Xenopus tropicalis: one gene and its partners. The protein of the gene in region 3 purifies or fractionates together with the protein of the main gene of each other region. This does not show direct contact. Links are inferred from orthologs where the notes say so. Each region holds a gene or a part of one and is shown on either strand. Other genes may lie near its edges.

Region 1 (4,416 bases), on a different chromosome or scaffold from region 3:
CAGTCCTGTTAAAACCTGAAATATGTCACTATCCCTTTAAAGAAGGTGGAATCACTGGGAGGTGCCAAAATGTTAAGCACCCCCTTGTGATTGTATTCACTTACCTGATACCCCTGGCTGGTGCTCCTGTTATCAAAAAAATGCACCAGCCCAGGGTACATGCAGGCCAGAGATCCTCTTCAGTCTTCTTTCTTTGTGCCAGCTATGCATGCACAGTAGAATTAAAAGCCGCACTTTAACGAAACAGTTGGTTTTTGACTATACTATGCATGTGTGGGCACCAGGATCGCAGCAAAAGGGGAAGGGAAGAGGATCACTCGCCTGTATGTACCCACAGCTGGTTTAATTGTCTGCTAATAGGCGCACCAGCCTAGGGAGTGCCTAACATTTTGCCACCCCCCTGTGATGCCACCTTTCCTTCTCCTTTAAGTAATAATTTAAACCCTAGAGTGAAAAATTGCCCCAGTGCAAAAACATCTATCATCAACATATCTGCTGTTTTTCACAACTCAGCACAGAGACAGGAATGTGGTGTTTGGTTCAGTTGGTTGGACAACTACTATCATAGCCATCATCAGACTCAAATGTGTGGGAGGACATATATATATATATAAGAAATATATATATATAGCCAATAAAAAAAGACAATAAAGAATGTGCTGTCAATTAGTTGTGTCGACATATGCACATTTTTCCTTGCAGCCATTGCTAACCATGTGTTATAAAAAACAATAAATCTGTCTCTATAAGTGCTGTAAATGGTGCATTGGGGTATACTATTAACAAAAGGTTTGGAGGGGCTATATTTGTCATAAAGCTTAGCTGGTTTTTATCCAAACATATATCAGCTCTGCACAGTTACAACCAATGCAAAAGTACCTATGGGGACTAGTATACACATCAGAAGACAAAGAGAAACAGGAATCAAAAACACACACACACACACACATATATATATATATATATATATATATATATATATATATATATATATATATATATAATCAAGTTCTACTTCTACATCGCTAAAAGTTATTTTACCATAAATGAGATACATTACCTGCAGTTCACTGTCTTTTCACCGCCCTCAAATTCAGATTTCTTTCCCCAGCGTTTAGGAATCTCCAGCACCATCACTCCTTTGCTTCCAACCAGAGCAACATGATGTTGTGTGGGGCTTAGCAACACCTCATTAACTTCAAAAAGTGGAGGATTTGTACAAAGCAGTTTCTATTACAATAAGAAAAGAAACCATTAAATTGACAAAACTGAAATCAAATCTATTTATTTTTAGTGTGTGTTTTCTCTCTTATGTTTGCACTTTTTTAACTGCAGCTCAGAGTTAATTTGATAACCAAACAGCATTTTAAAATTCAGGTTAGACTTAGATTTGTGCATGCACATTAGACAAATGTTACTCTAAGACACATGTGTAAGTCTAAGTCTGCACTAGGCAAACTGTGGGTTCTGGCAAATGCCAGAGAGGCTTCTGTAAGATGCCAATCACTATTTAGTGGGCTGGTGAGCAGCTGCTTACTTTAAAGGACATGTAAAGCCTACATTTCCCTACAATGTATATCAGTTGGGCACGTCTCCCCCACCCAAATGGCATCATTTGTACTGCATATATCCCCTCTGTTTGCCTGCACCATCACATGTTCCTGAAGCAAATAGCAGCTTTCACCCGGTGGCCAGTTTTCCTCTGATACATAATCAGATACATTTAAATCTGCAAACAGCATACACACACAGACCCTTATTCAGCATACATTTCATCAAGAATACAGGCTCAGACAGGCACAACTGTCTATGATAAAAGTTCTGCTTTGTTTGAGCTGAGTTCAGGAGAAGAGGTTAGGAGAAAAAAATTAAAGCAGACAGCTAGAGCTGAGTTTCTATGGGAACCAGCAATGCCATCTCTTCTGGCTGCTAGACTGGGGTGTGTGTTTAGTAATCTGAGCTTAGAACAACTGAGCATGCCCACAAACCAGAAGTCAAAGCAAATTCCTGATGAGGGGGCTGAGTGGGTTACAGGAGGAGAAGGAAATATAAGTGATTAAGGAGATGTTGCAGCCTTACGATTAACCTCTGGACAACCAGAGTGGCAGGTATTGAAAGATTTCAAGGAGGCTGTTCTCTGATTAAATTTGTGTGTGTGGGGTTTACATGTCCTTTAAATACCAGTGTCTAGGGTTGCGATAAGGGGGAAAAAAAAAAAAAGGTAACGGAGGCCAGTATTTCCCCAAGTAATTCCATCCATTCCTTTTAACAAGACAAAAATGAAAACAAGCCATGACAATACATTTGTAATTTGTCTTCAAAAGGAAGATAATTGGTGTACATTCTTAGGGGGCACTCAGTAAATGAAGCAGCAAGTTATTTACTTTAAAAAGGAAGGTCAGAGGAGCTAGAAATGTCCAAGCCATATGGGGAACCTGAGGCCCAACAACATCACCAACTTTTAGCTGTTATAACGACAATAGCAGTAGTAGTTCACCAATAAATGAAGGGGCCTAGGATAGACATCTCTCAGCAGGCAGCTACCATGCTCAGTTGTACAAGTGCTGGAATGATACCTGGCTCACTTACCTGCTCACCACTGCTCCCTGTGCTCTCCACACTTAGACTCCTCAGTCTGACAGTGAGAAAGGCGCACTCCTCCGAGTCCCACACCAATAGATCTCCATCGAGGACGCACAGCAAGTTCCTCAGTTGCTTGTCTTTCCTTGTCCGCCTTTCACCCTCTTCCCTAAGTTCTTCGACTTCCCTCGTCCGTTCTTTCAGACGGGAGAAGAGCGCATGTTCACTAAGCGAGCTCTGCCAATGTTCCCCCGCCGCCATCTTTCACTTCCACCATCAAAACCCCCGCACTGGCTAATACTAGTGACGTTGCGGGACGTGACCAATCAGATGCGTCTGCCGGCTTCTAACACCCTCCCTTGTCTAATATCAGCAAGTTATGCGCGCTATAATGAACCAGCCAATAGGGGCTCCCAGTATGTTTCTGGTCTGGAGCCCTAGCATAGGACTTGAGATATTTTCCCGTTAAATTTGCAGGGATTTGTACTGCACAGCATAAATGTCATGACATTATTCTGCGTGCGTTTAATTATACATAAATGGAACATCCCTTTCTTCATCCGTATTTCATAGCTGCAGTGCTTAGCAGAAGGTATATTGTCACAAGGAATTATAGACTGCTTGTTTGGCTAAACTAAGCAATAGCTATTAAATTGAGTGAAACAAAGTCTCCATTAGAAGTATTTTAGACTGGAGGTGCTTTTTATTATTAGAAATAAAGGAAGGACTGATTCCAAAATCTCTTACACTCTAATATTAAAGTTTTTAAGGACTGTACGATCTATTTTCCTGCCCTGAAAATTTGATAAGGTACTCGCACACGGGGTGCTTCATTAGCTAGCAGATCTCCACTCTCATGGGCAATGAAGCAGCTGACACTACCTGCCCTGCTGTGGTTGTGTGAATTGCCACATGGAAAATCACAAAACAAAAAAGGTAGCACTGTGTTAGCCAGTGTAAAAAACAAACACAAATACAAGAGTATTGTAGAAATGATTACCAGGGCGATCCCTGGTAATCACCTGAAAATGCATTTTGAGCGATTACCTTGGATTGCCGCATGTGTGGTGTATTACATGCAGCAATTCATATAAAAGTGAAGAAGCAGGCTTCATTACCTATGGGGAATGCCCAGAGTCGAGCATTAACTTAATAAAAGGGGTAGTTGACACGTTTATTACACGTTCTGCCTGCTCGCCACACAAAATGTCAAAGATGCACGTTGTACCCAAATATACACAATTCACTAAACAACACAAATGTTTGCGGCCACTACACCAAGCTTAAATATTTAGGTACTTTGCGGTACCTGACAATACTCTTGCATTGTGGGAAAATATTGCATTGCCTGAAAACATCAGGATATCAATATGTCTCAAATACAGAGCTCTGTAGTCTAAAAATATAATTCTACATTATAACCAAAACTTTCAAAACAATCACTTGTAAGTAGCTCATGCGTGAAATTAAAGAAACAAAAATAACACACGCCACAACAGTTGCTACACATAAAGACTACAATATCCGTCATACACCGCGCAAGTATCAAGCACCGTCACGTGGTAAGGAAGTATTTAAAAGCTTTTACTAGGCGGCGCTTTTGGAAGTTATTGGTGATTTGTTTATTGTGATGGAGGCTGAAAGGAGGCATCGCGCTTTGTATAAGGGAACTACCCCTCCTTGGAAGGAGACCTACAGAAAGGTGACGGGACTATTGTTGGTTTCCTTTTTATGCGTATATGGTTAAGCGCTTGGTATAAAAGTGTGTTCGCTTGTCCTTTGGTTTGCTCAAAGAATTGACATGTCTAAGGTTAAAATAGAAACCCTCCTGCAAAA
Region 2 (3,651 bases), on a different chromosome or scaffold from region 3:
TGAATAAAGGGAGCTGGATCCTTATTGACTTTAAAAGTAAAGGGAAACTGCACAGGCTAACACATGATGTCCTTTGGCTGCTGCTCGCTTATGTTGCTAATCAAGCATCTATAATTACCTTTTTAGCCACCTACATAGATCTTTTGAGCAATCTTCGTTGTGTGAACTTGTGCTGTTTTATCAGACGTTGTACAGCCATTTATCTCCCTATAAACAGAAGTGCAGTAACCAGAACTCCCCATTAATAAATTTGCAGTGCAATATAACTCCAGACAAATCTGGCGTAACCAACAATTTGATTGCTGCCACTATTAATGTCAGCAGGTCTTTAATAAAGCCAGATTCAGAAAGACAGAAATAAAATATTAACGTTCTTAATGCACTTCCTCCCCAAAGAGCAATTATGAATTCTCTCAAATCTGAATATACAAATGTAAAAAAAATAGCAACATTTTGTGCATAGGATTCAGTATTGGCCAAATCCCAAAATTCTGGATTTACTCTATTCTTAAGTAGTATTATTTTGCAATTATTCACAGACAATAAAGCAAGTAAATGTAAACCAAGTTTATTTTGCTTTTTAAGTAGTAGTGTTCTTAAAGCACTACAGCATGGTAAACAATGTAAATTAGTACAAGTCATCTCAAAAGCCAGAGTTTTATGAGTTGTTAAAAAGATGCAAGCCTATTCTAACAGGATAAATATTTTTAACCATTTCACTTCTCGTTAATGAAGGCTCACAAATGAGCAACACTCCTCATTGAGGAAAACAAAAAGCTGTTGTCGACAAAGCGACAGCACACACACAAAACAAAAAACTGTGTAAAAATAACTAACTGTACTGTGTTCCCATACTTTCTGAAGTCACTTTACAATGGGATGATATGCACATGATCTTGCTGCACCAATTATCTTCTGTTCAACTTGTAGTATGTATGTATGTCTAGCCCACCTCAACCCTAAATGACGGTTAATTGTTCAGCGAATGCAGCAGTGCCATACTTGTCTACACAAGTCAATTTGTTATCAACTGAAATTCCTTCTAGGCTGCAAAATCAATATGAAAGAAAAAGGGAAAAAAAACTCATAAAAAGTATGTGTCTTTCATGGGGAGGAATTACATTTTAGCAGACCTAACTAAATACAAGTTCTGAATCAGTTCTTCTGTCCTCAACCCCAAAGCCATAAAATGGGCATGAAAGAATTTTAAAAAAGGAAAAAAAATCCTTAATGTCATGCAAACCTAAAGATGACCAAAGCTTTAAACAATGGAAGGATATTTCACAGAAAATTTCTTATACAAAAACGCATAATAAGAAAAAGGGCCACTAGGTGACATTATAATTTACAAATTGGCATCATTTTGGTCAACAATAATCAAAGTGATGTTTTCCTGAACAAATTGGATGTTTAGCGGGAAGAGGGAAGTTAACGGCTTAAGTTGACTTTTAAAAACTAGTCACACATTTCTTCAGGAATTTCATGTGGATTAAGTATGCCAGGAACAGACATCTGGAGTTTGTGTTTTTCCTCTTGGGCTTGTCGAAGGGAAGATTCCCTTTCTTCCAGAAACAGGTCAGAGGTGTCTTCACCAGCATATTCCTGCACATAAAAATACAATATGTAACATGTCACTTCGTCAGAGAAATAAATTGCTGAATTAGCAAATTTTGCATTACATTACATTACAGTCTTAAAATATATACACAAAAAAAAAAAAACATTTTCTCCAGTTACAACTGTGAAGCTAAACATAAGTTTAAAAACAGAAAATTATCAGTAAAGGGAGGGGGAAGGGGACAGGGAAAGAAATACACTGACAACATACCTTAATCTGTACAAGAAAGTCCCTAAGATGTTCCTTAAATGCAGGAATATCCTGGTTTAAACTGAAGAGGCCAGTCACAAAAAGTTTAACCTGTGCACTGAAGAGAACAGAGAGAAAAAAGTCACATTTGATTAACTACCAAGATTTTATACATTCCTATAGATTTCTATCTGACATTCTGCACAGAAAAATGAGGTTCTACTGTATAAAGCCCACACAAAATATGCAGATTTCAGAGCAAAATATAAAACCAAACCTGGACATATGAAAAGACTTTGCATTTATTACTGTCAATGTATTCAGAAATAATGCACTTTGATAAGAAAATAAAATGAAAGCTTTTCTGTTAAAACGTGTCCTGCTTACTTCCATTATCCCCTAGGGAAGTTCATTTTAATGTCCAGAGCCAATCTGACCCTTCAAGAGGTTTTATGGCCCAAGTGATCCCGAGAGAACCAGATACTTAAAAGCCATCATGAATTTAATAAGAGGCCTATATATATGTATCACATTATATAAACTAGCAGTCTTTAGAAGCAATGGTACATGGTGAGATTTCTAGGGTTTTGCCCTTTAGCTTTTGCTCAAGACAGGTTTCACTAAAATACCACTGAAGTCAAAGGAAGGGAAATTTCCAGAATTCTGGTGTCTGCTGAGCTGAAAATCACATACCATAAAAAACCCAACACAACTTTTTTTTTGTCATTAAGTCACATAATATCCCTATTGTCTTAAAAAAAAAAAAAAACAACAAAAATAAAAGGCGCTTTTCTTTATGGTCATATATTTAACATACTCACTCTTGTAAGTGGGGAAATGCAGACTTTAAAAGGTTAGCCACATATTCTTGAATAAATAGCTGGTTGCTAAGAGGACTAGCTTGATTCAAAGGCGTACTTATTTTTCCTTCTTCCACTAGATTGAACATGTATGCCAAAATTGATGCGTGCATTGTTAACCCTATAAAACCAAAAGAAAATGAGTTAGCATTAAACTAATGTAGACTAACAGTCATAGTATGTATATGAACTACCAGCTCCAATAGGGAGAGCAACAAGTTGTGTAAAAGCAATGAGGTTTTTAAATTTCAGATGCCTAGTAGGGCTGTCCTAAATCGTGAATAGCTCTATAAGGCCAATATAAAACGTACCGGCAGTATGTGATGTGTCTGTTACAACGGAGAATATGTGCTGAAGTATGTCACAGAAATAAGTTTGGTAGAAACTCTGAGCTGCAGCTTCCTCTTGAGCAACATTCTGCAACAAGGTGTATAGAATCTGTAGACCTGGAGAGAAGGAAAATCAATACAGGAAATCAATGCTACAGAGAATTTGCCCAACCATACCACTGCCTGCCACTTGACAATCCACTGACATAAATATATTATTAAGTGTGGACATTATGTGGCTATAAATTCATAAAAACAAATCCATGGCGTTATATGCACCTTCTATATAACATTTGGTCTTTTGCAAATTTATATTAAAACAAATGACCACAGAGATAGTTATAGTTAGTACATCTTCCAATGTTAGGGGTAGTTTCCATTTATACTACCAAAGTACAATGTAGACTGAAATTAAAACTATATTTTTCTTGTTTAGCCAAGCATATACCTTACCTGTATCTGCGACATTTCTCATTGTGTGTTTAAAGGCCCAAATGATAGAATCTAACACCAGTTTAAACTGAGCTGGGGGGATAGCCAAAAATGCAGGAAAGCAGTGGGAATTCACAGCTTGAAGAAGCAAGAAAAAGTTTGTCCTGTGCTCTGGATACTCTTCAAAGTCCTAGGCAAGAAGAAAAAATGATAGCCACCTAGA
Region 3 (3,651 bases):
CTTATAGTGCTGTAGTTTATATACTGAACTTAATGTACCAGCCGTGAAGTCCAGGCGTCCTATAACTGTAATGATCCAGGCCTTAAAATAGCTCCCCATTTTGGTTCTTGTTCGGCCATCTTTTTGTGTCAGTGACACTGCACATGCTCAGTGTGCTCTGGGCTGCTGGTGAGTAGCTAAGCTTCCGACAGCAGCCAAGATTGTGTGCTATGAGTTAGCAGAAATGAAAATGGGATGCTATTGCAGGCATGTTTTTTTTGGAGGAAGAGCCCTTTACTGCTAGAGGCCAGTGGTGGCTGAGTTGGACTGGCCCACTGGGATACTGGACCCTGTGTCGCCCTGCCACCTACTCGCAAGCAAGCGATCCCAGCCAGCACGACTCTGCTGCCATGTGTTCCACTATGGAATGCACAGTAAAAAGTGGAACAGGAACAGCGGTTTCTGGGTGGTGGGCCCTTGAGTTAGGTTCCGAGTGGATCATTGGTCCCCCAGTCCGACTAAACTATTCCAACAGTGACTTCTGAAACAGGGCTTGCAGTGTCCCTGAAGCAGATGAATGCTTATAACTTGTAACTATAAGAAAAAAAAACATCTTCATTCTCTCACTTCCATTTTTGTGTTCACAGCAGTGGTTTCAGTTTCAACAGTGTATCTTCTGCTCCTGTTACAACCTCTGCCATGGGAGGCAGCTCTGCAGGTAACTCACCCTGGAAAATATATATATTACTGTTCTTGTTCTGCTTGAACTACTATCATGGTGATATGATGGACTGCAATTTTCTTTCCTTTTTCAGGTTCTGTTACCGCTGCAAGGGATTCCAACCAACCATCCTCCTTTGTGTTTGGAGGTACCAGCAAGTCTTTATTTGGTCCTGGGGCAGAAGGATCGTTTTCTTTTGGATCAGTTAAAACTGCTTCCTCCACCTCCAGTACTTCCACCGTGGAATCCACATTGGGCAAACCTAGTGTTGTTACAGGCGTGTCATCCTCATCCACCGTTACTAGCACTGCTGCAGCCATCGGCAAACCCGGGGATGGCCTATTTCAAGGGTTTTCAGGTGGAGAGACTTTAGGAAGCTTCTCAGGCCTGCGTGTTGGTCAGGCTGATGAGGCGTCCAAGGCAGAAGTTGCCAAAGCGCCCCCTGCTGCACAACCAGTCAAGTTGCCCAGTAACGCTGGTTTGTTTAGTTTTAGTGGAGCTCCGCAGCCAGCGAAGGCTGGAGAAGCACCATCCTCAACCGGCAGCACCTCTGGTTCTTTATTTGGAAATGCGCAGTTAACAAGTACAGGATCTGCAGCAAGTGCATTCACCCAAAGTGGCAACAAGCCAGCCTTCTCTTTTGGGCTGCCACAGAGCACTGCCGCTTCAACGGGAGCTACCTCTGCAGTTCCGGCCTCGTTCCAAAGCCTCCTGGTTTCCACAGCTCCAGCCCCAGCAACAACAATTCCTTCAGCTCCTGTCAACAGCGGACTGGATGTTAAGCAGCCAATAAAACCTGTGTCTGAACCTGCAGATTCATCCACTTCCCAGCAACAAGCACTGACCAGTCAGTCAGTTGCCGAACAGGTTGCCACAGTGACTCCTGCAGCAACAACTGCCACTGTTTTGCCCCCACCTGTACCAACTCTTGCAATTCCTCCCACAGCTGATGCAAAGGTAGAAGGAGCGGCGGTTCCCCCTCTCTCTACCTCGGTCATTTCAGGTCAGAATGTAGCTTTCACATCCACAGTGGTTGCATCTCAAACCCCTTCAGCAAGTACCCCGGCTGTAGGCCTTTCCTCCCAGGTGCCAGTGCTGGTTACAAGTGCACCCCCCGTTGCTGCTGCTGCTCCCGCTGCAGAAAACACACAGACTGTATCTCTACCAGTACAGCCAACTGCTGCAAGTTCTGCGTTTCCTCAATCAACTGCAAGTGCAGCGTCCACTCCAGCAGCGGTGTCCACCCCAGTATTCGGCCAAGCCGTAGCTTCTGGTTCAACTCCCTCTCCTTTTGCTCAGCCGACCAGCAGTTCCGTTAGTACAACAGCCAGTACAGGATTTGGCACATCTACATTTGGTACGACAGGTGGGAGCGGAGGCTTTGGACAGCCCTCCTTTGGCCAAGCTCCTTCATTGTGGAAAGGTCCTCCCAACTCCCAAAATACTTTTCCTTTTGCACAGCCTGCTTTTGGGGCCCAGCCGGCTTTTGGGCAACCACCAGCATCAACAGCTACATCTAGCGCCGGCAGCCTTTTTGGCAGTGCTGCAAGCACAAGCAGTGCTAGTTCCTTCTCTTTTGGGCAACCTTCCAATACTAGCGGCACATCCACTTCAGGAGGACTCTTCGGACAAAGCAGTACTCCAGTCTTTGGGCAGAGTGCCACATTCCCCCAAGCTGCCCCTGTGTTTGGAAGTGCCAGCTCCTCTACAACCACCACCTCATCTTCTGTGTTTGGTTTTGGCCAACCAGCAGGTAAGGGTGTGTCACCAACCATCCCTTTTTTTGCTATAAATGCCTTCAAATATATGTACCAGTCAATAATGGTTTCTGCTTTTGTAGGATTTGCTTCCGGCTCTTCTGGTTCCTTGTTCAGTCAGTCTCAGAGTGGAAACACCAGTGTCTTTGGACAGGTAAGGATTTGTGTGTTTATCGTAACCTACACACGTACCATGCAAACTGAGAAAACACTGTTTTCTCTCACATCTCGTTGGGTGGGGACAGGAACAATGGGGTATAGCTTGTATGACTTGGAGGCAGGACACTAGAGGAGAAGAAGCACCTCCATCTTAGTTATACCCCCAAGCTCAGCTGCACATGGACCAGTTTTTCTAGTGTCCTCAGGAGGTTAAGATCTCGTCAATCAATCATCATTGTGGAAGTTCCAGACTTATCTGGACACCAGAGGATGTTCCTATACTGCCTATCCTGGGTAGACTGTTGTTCTATGGCTTCCCCCTATGTGGGATGAGTTTAGGCACCACTTTTCCCTTAGTTTTCTATGCTTTCTGCCTACTTACAGCAACTTTCACAATGCCCCATGTACTGTTAGCTTCAGAGCTGATGCCACAAGAGGATAAATTCACAGTAAACCCCAATGTTTAATTGCTTTCTGTGCTTGGGGTCTATAATATAAAGGGCCTTGCAATACACATGTGCTTCCCATTCAAGCTCCTTAAGGGTAAAGACACACTGAGCTACTAGTAGCAGCTACTTTTTCATGGCTACTGAGCTACAGAAAATCCCCTGCCATAGACAATACTGAGAATTGCCTCTGCTAAAACACACGTATAGACAATTATTAGTAAATGATCAGCATTGTCTATTTTAGTAGCTATGACAAGTAGCTGCTACTGGAAGCTCTGTGTATCTTCACCTTAATACCAATGTGAATGGTTCACAACAGTAGCTTCTGTTGTACCAGGACAGGAAAGGGGTGGCCCATTTGAGTACTAGACCAGCAGTAAATGATTATGATTTAAAAGTTCATGGGACCGGGGTGGCCAAATTAAAGTACAGGAATGAGATGGGGGGGACCTGCCCTAGTTCAGTTTGGTTTTCCTTTCCTGACTGCCAATAACACTTTCCCTTTGTCCTTGCCTAAACAAAAGCAAGGGACTGGTTCTCATCTAATGGGATTTATGGCCTATGATGTTTGGCCTTTGTTTTCCAA

The links.
Region 1: the proteins of nup214 (region 3) and nup88 purify together in Homo sapiens (affinity purification with mass spectrometry; 6 studies listed by BioGRID and IntAct, counting the BioPlex papers as one, with this or other methods). This does not show direct contact. The link is inferred for Xenopus tropicalis from reciprocal best matches to the Homo sapiens genes NUP214 and NUP88.
Region 2: the proteins of nup214 (region 3) and xpo1 purify together in Homo sapiens (affinity purification with western blotting; 4 studies listed by BioGRID and IntAct, with this or other methods). This does not show direct contact. The link is inferred for Xenopus tropicalis from reciprocal best matches to the Homo sapiens genes NUP214 and XPO1.

The regions. Positions count from the first base shown.
Region 1 is NC_030678.2:105,084,227-105,088,642, forward strand, and holds the start of nup88 (nuclear pore complex protein Nup88), read right to left. Parts: upstream 2,903-4,416; 5' UTR 2,842-2,902; coding exon 2,590-2,841; intron 1,231-2,589; coding exon 1,061-1,230; intron 1-1,060. Other genes in the region: rpain (RPA-interacting protein), read left to right, coding at 4,211-4,282. UniProt on the Homo sapiens protein: Component of nuclear pore complex.
Region 2 is NC_030681.2:33,578,994-33,582,644, reverse strand, and holds the end of xpo1 (exportin-1), read right to left. Parts: intron 3,619-3,651; coding exon 3,450-3,618; intron 3,114-3,449; coding exon 2,979-3,113; intron 2,789-2,978; coding exon 2,629-2,788; intron 1,926-2,628; coding exon 1,829-1,925; intron 1,603-1,828; coding exon 1,456-1,602; 3' UTR 553-1,455; downstream 1-552. UniProt on the Homo sapiens protein: Mediates the nuclear export of cellular proteins (cargos) bearing a leucine-rich nuclear export signal (NES) and of RNAs.
Region 3 is NC_030684.2:12,374,757-12,378,407, reverse strand, and holds part of nup214 (nuclear pore complex protein Nup214), read left to right. Parts: intron 1-626; coding exon 627-697; intron 698-794; coding exon 795-2,453; intron 2,454-2,540; coding exon 2,541-2,611; intron 2,612-3,651. UniProt on the Homo sapiens protein: Part of the nuclear pore complex. Has a critical role in nucleocytoplasmic transport.